Nothobranchius furzeri: one gene and its partners. The protein of the gene in region 2 binds, or shares a complex with, the protein of the main gene of each other region. Links are inferred from orthologs where the notes say so. Each region holds a gene or a part of one and is shown on either strand. Other genes may lie near its edges.

Region 1 (3,657 bases), on a different chromosome or scaffold from region 2:
ACAGGATTAGCACCTTGGCTCACCCAAACGCGGCGGCGTGAGAGCTACACGAGCTCAGCTGTGCTCAGACTCAGCCGTTTGAGATAAAAACAACGAGGGTGAGAAAGAGCGGGGAGATAAAGTGCTGTTGGACTGACCTCCGGCGCCATCTCCTCTATGAAGTGAATGGTGTAATCTATGTTGAAGCGGATCACTCGGCACAATGGAATCTGTGATGATGAAAGGAGCAGAGGACGAGGAGAAGAAAAGGACAGAGCGTCTCATTACCACAGCGACAGGCAGAGGTTACAGCTTCTCAAGGAAACTCATTAAAACCTCATTTTCTCTGCAGAAACCACGTGCATGTATGGAAACTATATGCTAAATTGTGTAAAAACATGTAAAACCTCTGATAATACCACAAACCCACCCTCCCATGGAGCGCGCGCCTCCCCACACACACGCACACACACACACACGAGCGCCCTGGAAATTAAGCAACTCAAATCTGGCTAAAAGGATAAGCCGGCTCGTCTGTGTTTAATCTCCCCGGTTACACGGTCTTTGTTGTCGGAGCACAGGGGTTCATTCGGAGAGATTAACCTGGAGCAACGCTCCTTCCTGCCCATCTCAGCGGCTAACTAGCAGGGAGCTAATATGGCCATGCTCTCAGGTTTCTAATCCCCGTTCTGTCGCCAAACGATTGCCCCGGCTTGTAAAAAGCACCGTGGAAATTATCTGGTGTAAATCAGGCCTGATCCGCCGGGCTGCAGCGCAGATATTGATCACATTATTTAAACGGACTGGAGCACGAATCACCGCAGGTTGGGAACGTTTTCTCCAACCTGGCAAACCCCCGTCGGGTTTTCGTCTGGCTTCCTGTTAAATCGCAACCTCTTCAATGGCTGACGGACACCGAGGCCAGCCCTGTGAGAGGGAAGCACTTTGTCCAAACTACAAAGGAGTCGACCCGAAGCCGAGGGATGATTTGAAGTTGTGTTTTAGGAAAAAGGAGGTTTTCACTTAAACTCCAGCAGGAAGGACGAACATTAGCAGGCTGAGGCGTGGAGGAGGACGCCCGCCTGTGATGGTGGGTGAGAACCTGCCTGAGCAGCTGGTGGACACTTGGGCCGAGATAACAAGGCTGATGGTGGATCAGAGCATCTGTCAGGCTGATTCACACCAAGCAAGACATTATTATGCTAAAACAAGAGAAGACGAAGCATACTTTACATCGAAGGCGGTCGGCAGGTCACGCCCACTGTGACGAACCTTCGGACCGTTGGAGCGGCTAAAAAAGGACCAAAAACATAAAATCCTAACGATGGAAATCCCATAAATCACAGCTACTATAGTCAGCTGTTTCTGAACAAAGTCAAAACTACACTGAGGAGTGTTTGAAGGTCTGGTTTCCATAGAAACCGTGTAATCCTTGTTCATTTAGATATGTGATCGGCCACTCTGGCCGGGCCTTCCCACATCCGTGAAGTGAGGTACGCAGCAACCAGCCGCCGTAGTAGCAGAAGAGTGCAAGCAGCGCATTTGTTTAACGTTCCAGAAGCGTAGGGACGCGTCACTTCTGCTAAATTCACGACTCGAGTCTATTTTTTTACACGCCACGCTCAGCAGGTTAGACCGGGCCAGACAGGAAGTCAAACACTAAAGCAGTGGGAACATCTGGTGACTTTCAGATTTAAAGTCACGTGCACATTTCCAGGTCTGTACCAGTAAAAAACAATGGCGCTGACTGTGAAACCTCCGTAGCCGAAGTAAATAGGACAGAAAACAAACCAGACGCGTAGGAAGATGCTGCCATCGTTCAGACTAAAAGAACGCAGAAAGGAAACAGACGGGAAAACGAGGCACGATTCCTCCACGTCACAGCGGTAATTTGCATTCATGACCACGCCCACCTCGGCTTGGGACCGCCCACAGGAAGGAGAGAGCAGAGCGCGTCTCGGTTAGTGAAAGCTAGCCATTAGCATTAGCAACCTCACACAGTGGCAAACATGTTGACGCTTGTTTGTGGAGAGAAAAAAAAAGGAAGAGCGGAGGAAGCAGAAAATAGCTCACAAGGCATTCACTCATTCATTCTATAAACCAGACTAATCTACAGGAAATAAGCATGAATGAGAGCTTTAAGACCCTCGTGCAAGTTCTGGAGGGAACGGCGTTCCAACTTTCAGACTCACGCTAGTGAGGGGCGTGTGAGAGAAGAGAGAGAAGCCTTCAAACAGGTACTCGTGGTCGTCGTACTCGATCACCGTCGGCCGGTCCGTCTGGAAGTCAATTACAGAAAGACTCGCGTCACAAACACAGAAAAACAGCCAAACCACTCGTTTCGGTTGAGAACGGCGTCCTACCAGGAAGTTGGTGGGAGGAGACACGGTGATTCTGTAGTGGAACAGTTTCCCAGCGTTGTTGTTCATCGGACGGCACTGCCTCACGGGCTGGGGACAAAACACCAGAAAGATCCCTCATCAGTTACTGGACCCAGTAAAACCAACTAAAGAGGAAAACATGAATGTTTCTGAGGATTGTGAATGGATGAGTGGATTAAATCATGAATGTTTGTTTACTGGACATAAAACCTCAAAGTCGTTCATAAAAATGTTCTCAGTCATAAGGACACGAGTCTATTTATTAAGATATAACACCGTTTAGCTCATGACGGTGAGTTAACGGGGTGTGTGTGTGTGTGTGTGTGTGTGTGTGTGTGTGTGGGGCGTCCTTGGCCCGCCGCGGCTCAGCCTGAAGGTTATGAACGGAGGTGATTTATTCACGCCGTGTCCCACCTCCTCTCCTGGGTAGATGCTGTGGCGGATCCCGGTGCGTCTGGCCTTGGCGCTGCACTTACACAGGGGGCCATCATTCATCTGGACAGAAAGAAAATGCGTGAATCGGACAGCGCCGCTTCACCTGCCAGGTGTAACACAAAGGCCGAGGAACGCTTCACATGTCTGGACTGCAGCACGGCGACCTTTACGTCTCTTCTGCACTTTGAAGTTGGGAGTTTGAAGTTTCCCTGGCAGGTTCTGCCTTTGTTAGGAACCTCAAACAACCCAAGTTTATAGGAGAAAACCACCTTTTATCCACTCAGGCTTTAAATATTCTGAATTTAACGTGACAAACCTAATTTGGCTCCTAAATTAAATAAATCCAGACGATAAATTCAGCCCAAAACTCGGAAACTCTCCACTGAGAGCGACAGAACCCTTTGAAGGGATGGTCCTCCATAAAACTAGGTCCTAGGGTCGGGCTTATCGTCTGACCTCACGTCTGTGAGCCCAGCAGGCTTCAGGGGAGGCAAACATCCCATCAGAGCTTCGAGGACAAACATTAGGCTCTCACGCCTTCGCAGAGACTAAATTCAAGCCTCATCAAGGATTTCAAGCACCCATTCTGAACTTTTCACCACTTCATCACAAAAGCAGCGGTTGTTGAAGTAGGTGCGAAGAGTTCAGAGGTGAAGTTTGTTCTTCACACTGTTGCTAAAGTTAAACCAAGCACCTTTTAACCTCCCTGTTTCATAAAACTAAATATTATTGTGACAAAAGGGTCGATGCTACATCTCAGCACCATTACTGCACTATTTCTGCTGTTGCAAACGATGAAAACATGAATATTATTTGAGGTCGACTGTTAATGCTGAAGGTGTTGTGCCTAAAACGGTTTCCA
Region 2 (3,018 bases):
AACTACAGCAACACTAAGGAGTCTACACAATGCATAAGACTGCATGTAAGCTTTGGTATACACAGTTTCTTCAGCTTTTACAAGGCTGCCTTTTGAAATGTTCTCCTGTGGTTATACAGCAAGAATGATGGCAAACACAAGAAACCACGATCCATAGACGACTCGTAAAATTCTGCACATGCTGCTTACTACTCTACTCGTGACACTGAACAGGCCTTAAATATATTTACCTGACTGTTAAATGCTTCATCATGTGAATGGGCCTTGGTCTCCCACTTCCTGCTGAAGGTTATTCTAGGTCCGATGTAACATTTAGCACTTGAGCCCTTCATGAAATGGATCAACTAAGGCAACATGTAGCCAACTTCATTTACCTTTTTAAAAGAAGGGCATCAGAAATGAAATGTCTAAAGCAACCGGTGCATGGCAGTAGGGTAGGAGTAAAGGACTCGGGCTCTGGACTGGGTTTACAGCAGAGCCAGGATGGGGTGAAGAACCAAAGCAAAACAAAGCGTCCACCCAAGTCTCAGAAGCAGTCAGACCAACAACAAGAACATCACACACACACACGCACACACACCAATAGTTCTGAACAGTGATCACTTCACAACGCATGTTCTTGTCATGCAAAGCAAGACGACAACTTCTCATTGATAAAACGGAACAATTGCATTCCTCACCCAAAATATCCAGAAACTACGATTAAAACACTAAATAAACCAGAAAGTTTGATTTCCAATCATTTGAATGGTAAAAGTACAAATATTAGTAGTCCCTTTCAAACACTTCAAGCACTGAAACCATGAGATTGTGACTAGAAAACACTGACCGAGAAACCAATGAGCACAGAGGTTTTTATGGATTAAACACGTATGCATGCTGTAATCTGATGTGGTTCATATTTTAATCAATAAAGTTTCAGTGCCGTAGAAAGCTGCAACTAGAGAGGTATTTAGTCGGGGGTCTGTAAGTGCATTTAGTCCTACCATTATAACAATCTGCTCAGTCACGAGAGGGTGTGTGTGTGAGGGAAGCCAGCTGGTCAAACGTGGGACTACACCGTCCTTTTGTCTCAGAGATGCATACTTTCGTCGTGGGGGTGACCTTTGACAGTGACCGGCTTTCAGTGCGGTGGTTCATCAGTGATTTATGAGAATTAAACATCAACAGTGCAGAGAGGCTCACTCCCCGGCTGGGCAGACTCCATTATGGTCATCTTGGGTTTCTTTCTCGTCTCCTCCTGATGTGAAAACAGTCAAGTACAAAGTTCATGAGCAATGCGTTTAGAAAGACCGGACTTCATGGAAAACAACTACAGAAGGTTTGCACCAGGAATCGTTTCTGTAAAATCACACAAAACAACTGGACTCCACTCCTCCAGACTGGGGTTCTCACTTGAAAAACAGAAATCAGCCTCAGGAATGGGCAGTCCGCACTCCCAGACTCAATCATTTAAACATAATTTAACCTTTAGTTACTGATGTTACAACCCCGGCACTGGTGCATCGTGTGGAGAGGAGGGGGTAACAAAACTTGACAGGTGGAAAATCTATAAATGTTTTTTTTTTTAAAGGGCCAAAAACGGAAAAACACAGGGAGGACGTTACCGAAACAAAAACGCCTATATTCTAACGAAAGGAACAAGTTATTTAACGGATTGGAATGAAATGAAATGCAGGGATTTCACCTTCTCAAAACAAGCTACAATTAAATAAGGAATTATCCTTTTTATGCAAAATTTAATCTAAATGAAAACAGTCCAGTTATCTACCAAAGTAACTCAAATCCTCAGAGGGACAAACGAGAACACAAAGATTAAATTCAAAGGACCATCTTCACAACTAAATTTACTCTCCCAAAACCGGGCGGGCGTTTAACAGATTCAAAAGGGCAACGTCAAAGATCTTCTAATGATCGTTCCCAGTTAACCCAGTTAACATTACTCACAAAACATTCGTAACTCTAAACTCTGTTTTTAAATTACCACCAACCACTGAGGTCTCCAACTACCGCGGAGCAAAAACCAAGTGTTGTCATCCTGGTTTGCCTCCTCGACTGGTTGAGATCACTGCCTTTTGTCTCCCGGGCAACTAATCAACGGTAATGTTGCCCAGCTGAGCTCATCAGATGCCGGCAGGAGCGCCGGTCTGGACCAACCGGGAGGCCAGAAGCGTCAGGGCTGGAACTGCAGGGAGAGGTTTGGGCGGTGTCCATAATGGACATGTCCTAAAACAATAGTGTCCAGCCCTGGTCCCTGAAAGCCCCCATCCATCCATCATAAGGAGGAAGAGATATTTTAAAAACCACGAGGTGCTTCACAAGAACAATAACTGAACAAACAAAATTTAAAAAGTATAAAATTGGGAAAAGTAAAAATTTTATATCAGGGAGGAGTAATATCCAACACGTTTTAGTTCTTTCACTGCTTCAACACGCTCAGTATCAATTAGGTGATTAACAGGCTTCTGTAGAGCTAGATAACATGTTGAACAGGTGAATCAACCACTGAATTAAATGTGTTGAAGTGAAACAACAAAAACATGCTGGATACCAGCCCTCCAACACCAGGACTGGGCATCCCTGTTGTAGTTTCTCTGCTTCAACACACCTGGTTTTAAAACGGGCCGCTGCAGAACTCCTGCTGAATCAGGAGTAGGAACTAAAACGAGCTAACGCTAACGTGTGTCTGGCTCTGTTCTTACCCTCTGAGCTGCCAGCTTTTGCATCTCCTCTTGCAGTTTGTTCAAGATGTGAAGGTTTGGCTTGTTCTTTTTGGCATACTGCTGAAGCTCAATCACACTCTTGTCGGAGCTCTCCTGAGGAAAGCACAAGTTCATTTAATTCATTTCTGGTAAATTTCTACCTTCCAGCTCAGGAGGACCCTCACCTTCTTGACCATCTTGTTGCTTTCTCTGCCGTACATTCGTAGCAATGAGCCCCAGTTCTTAACATGAGGGTGCAGCATCTGCAAGATCTTTTGAGAGGCTAGCTGTTTGCCAACCCTTTTGTTCTTACCTA
Region 3 (2,577 bases), on a different chromosome or scaffold from region 2:
CATCTACACATAAGAGCCTTTTGCTGGCTAATAGACCCATTCTTTCCAAATGGAAGGACTCTCACTCTCCAGCCACTGGGTCGCAGAGATGATGTTCCATATCCACCTGGAGAAAATCAGGAACACTTTATGGGACACATTGAACAAATTTTATTGTTTCTTTTATTTCTTTCATGAGATTGTAATAGCATTTAGATTTAGTGTCACTTTGTCACCTGTTTTGTTTGTTTTCTGTTTTAAAGGTTCATCCAGTGTAGCCAGGTGGGTGGTGAGGTTGTTTTATGTGGTTCGTTCTAATTAAATATGTTGTAAAAAATAACCTTGTTAAAAAAACGGAAACAAGAAGTCTTAATCATCTCTTTAAAGGAAATTTTTTTTAATTTTGTCCTTTCCTGAGAGTATAAACCAGCAGCATCAGTGGTAAAACTCCTCTTGTGCTAGTTTCAGAGGAAAGGGCAGGGAAAGCAGATTCCATAAAAACATTATTCAAGAAATTTTAAGATTTTTTGAAGAGAGTGGAAATGCAAAAAAAAAGATTGAAAAGCAAATAAACTAGAAAACAACAAACCAACTAATTGAAAATGACTGTTAATGTGAATCTTTATTAATAAGTCAAACATATAAAATACAACCCCCCCCCCCCCATTTAAAAAGCACTACTTTAACTACCACTCCCAATCACCAGCTTCACTTCCCCGCCTGCTGAGCCTGACGACGCAGCAGCACATAGATCTTCTCTTTGATCCAGTCCTTGTTGTACGGCTGGTACGTCTGCGTGTCGGCGCGATACCTGAGGAACCAACGTGGGTGCTTATTACAGCTCTTCATAAAGGCTGAATAACACTTTGTTTTAATCAAACTCACACCAAACAGCTGAGGTCAGCCAGGTCATCGATGAAGTCAAACAGCTGGCTGATGTCGTACGTTATCGACGGACTGTTGGGGTTCATTCTCTTTAAATGCTCCTCATACATCTTACACACACCTGTACAGGAGACACAAAACACAACTACTAATGGAAGTCAAAAAAACTAAAGGTTTGTTGGTCTTCAGTGAGTGTATCGCTTTCCAGTTTTCACCTGTTTGTGTAACCTGTCTGAATTACTTCTGATGAGTTTCTGGACTTTGGTTCTTTTAAACCCTTTTGAACTGGAAAGAGCCTGTTTGAACAGTTTACCAGCTTGGACTTTTATCATGAACAGATTTTAGCAGTGGCTCAAAAGGAAAGAGCATTTGGCCACTGATGGGAAGGAGAGCGGTTTGATCACCGGCCCCAGCTAGCAACACGTCCAGGTATCCTGGGACAAGAACCCTGAAAGTGGATCTGTAGGTACATAGAGTCATGTGTTGCTGTACATTACTGTGTAAAGGTTTTAAGCAGGTGTGGAAAAATGCTGTGAACAGAGGACAATTTCAAAAATGGAAGTGTTAATCAGTAGTTTTAATCTATCAAAAAAACAGTGAATGAACAAAAGATGAACCTAAATCAAATCAATAGTTGGTGAGACCACCCATTGAATTCAAAACAGCATCAGAACTTCTAGCTACACTGGTAGGTTTATCCAAACACCAAGAGCCTATTTCATCATGGTGGCAAGTCAAGGTAATAACGCCGCCACAATGTGTCTTTTGAAAGTACTGTGGTGGCTCCATTGTTTTATGAAAGATGCTTTGGAGAACTAAACACAGATCTTCTGAACCAGCTCAGTGGCGTAGTGGTAGAGTCTGGGACGTAATTTTGGGGGGGGACGGGTGGGACATGTCCCCCCCACTTTTTCAAAAGGCAGTTTTGGTCCCCTGCACTTTTTTCCGTCCAAAAACAATGTTACGCTCCATTAAATGGATTTGGTTGAGCACTAGGACCGAAACGGAAACCGGTTTCCTATTAGACCCGCCCAAAAGCTAATCTATTGGCTCTGCTGATACTTGCTAACGTATTATTGGCTGTTGCTGCTGTCACTCAAGTTGTAAACAGTCAGAACGTGCTCACGTTGTTTTGCTAGTTTGGAGCCGCTAGGGAACACCGGTACTGAGTCACATCGTCAACTAGACGCTGTGTAATATCAGAGCTCAGCTCAGCTTCCATTACATAACATTTGAATAAGTGTTCATTTGTGAGTCTTTGGTAGTTAGGCACAGCCAGGAGGCAGCATGTCAAGAAAACGAAAAGTGGATATAAGAGACTTCTTTCAAAGTCAAAACGTAAGTTGGAACATGTGACAGACCTGCATTAAGCTCAGACTCACCTCCTCCTTCACACACATACTCAAAACTAACTTTTACAAACTCATCTCCTCCACATAACTGACTCCTCAGACACAATTTGTTCGTATTATTATAATTATTTTTTCATTATTATTACTATTATCATCATAATTATTATTAACTAGTAGTAGTAGAAGTGTAACTTCAAAACTTTTATCATTTAACTTTATTGTAAACTTATCTATTGCAATGTATATTTTCACATTAAAAAGCTCTGAAAAATGAACAGTATCATCATTGTCAACAGATTTTTTTAAGCTTAATGTCAAAGATGTACACTTTTCATTAGATTTATCTTATTTTTTCCATTTA

Evidence for each region. The genes of interacting proteins can lie anywhere in the genome.
Region 1: the proteins of dgcr8 (region 2) and drosha are in contact, whole or in part, in a crystal structure (PDB 5B16), measured with the Homo sapiens proteins. The link is inferred for Nothobranchius furzeri from reciprocal best matches to the Homo sapiens genes DGCR8 and DROSHA. Residues at the interface, in NP_073557.3 of Homo sapiens: Asn728, Ile731, Leu732, Lys734, Leu735, Gln736, Glu738, Met739, Lys740, Leu742, Ala743, Arg746, Arg750; in NP_001369437.1 of Homo sapiens: Leu984, Leu987, Phe988, Thr998, Tyr999, Thr1001, Ala1002, Ile1003, Gln1005, His1008, Phe1069, Asp1073, Leu1074, Glu1076, Val1077, Trp1078, Asn1080, Pro1082.
Region 3: the proteins of dgcr8 (region 2) and enhancer of rudimentary homolog are in contact, whole or in part, in a crystal structure (PDB 7CNC), measured with the Homo sapiens proteins. The link is inferred for Nothobranchius furzeri from reciprocal best matches to the Homo sapiens genes DGCR8 and ERH. Residues at the interface, in NP_073557.3 of Homo sapiens: Lys107, Phe108, Ser109, Pro110, Asp111, Leu112, Leu114, Leu115; in NP_004441.1 of Homo sapiens: Val8, Pro10, Thr11, Thr18, Tyr19, Ala20, Glu27, Lys34, Met35, His39, Arg42, Met43, Phe60, Leu64.

What each region holds. Positions count from the first base shown.
Region 1 is NC_091747.1:62,198,155-62,201,811, forward strand, and holds part of drosha (ribonuclease 3), read right to left. Parts: intron 2,856-3,657; coding exon 2,775-2,855; intron 2,430-2,774; coding exon 2,343-2,429; intron 2,259-2,342; coding exon 2,172-2,258; intron 210-2,171; coding exon 138-209; intron 1-137. UniProt on the Homo sapiens protein: Ribonuclease III double-stranded (ds) RNA-specific endoribonuclease that is involved in the initial step of microRNA (miRNA) biogenesis.
Region 2 is NC_091757.1:31,769,434-31,772,451, reverse strand, and holds the end of dgcr8 (microprocessor complex subunit DGCR8), read right to left. Parts: intron 3,016-3,018; coding exon 2,888-3,015; intron 2,817-2,887; coding exon 2,703-2,816; intron 1,241-2,702; coding exon 1,157-1,240; 3' UTR 616-1,156; downstream 1-615.
Region 3 is NC_091758.1:16,832,221-16,834,797, reverse strand, and holds the end of enhancer of rudimentary homolog, read right to left. Parts: intron 986-2,577; coding exon 865-985; intron 791-864; coding exon 688-790; 3' UTR 596-687; downstream 1-595. UniProt on the Homo sapiens protein: May have a role in the cell cycle.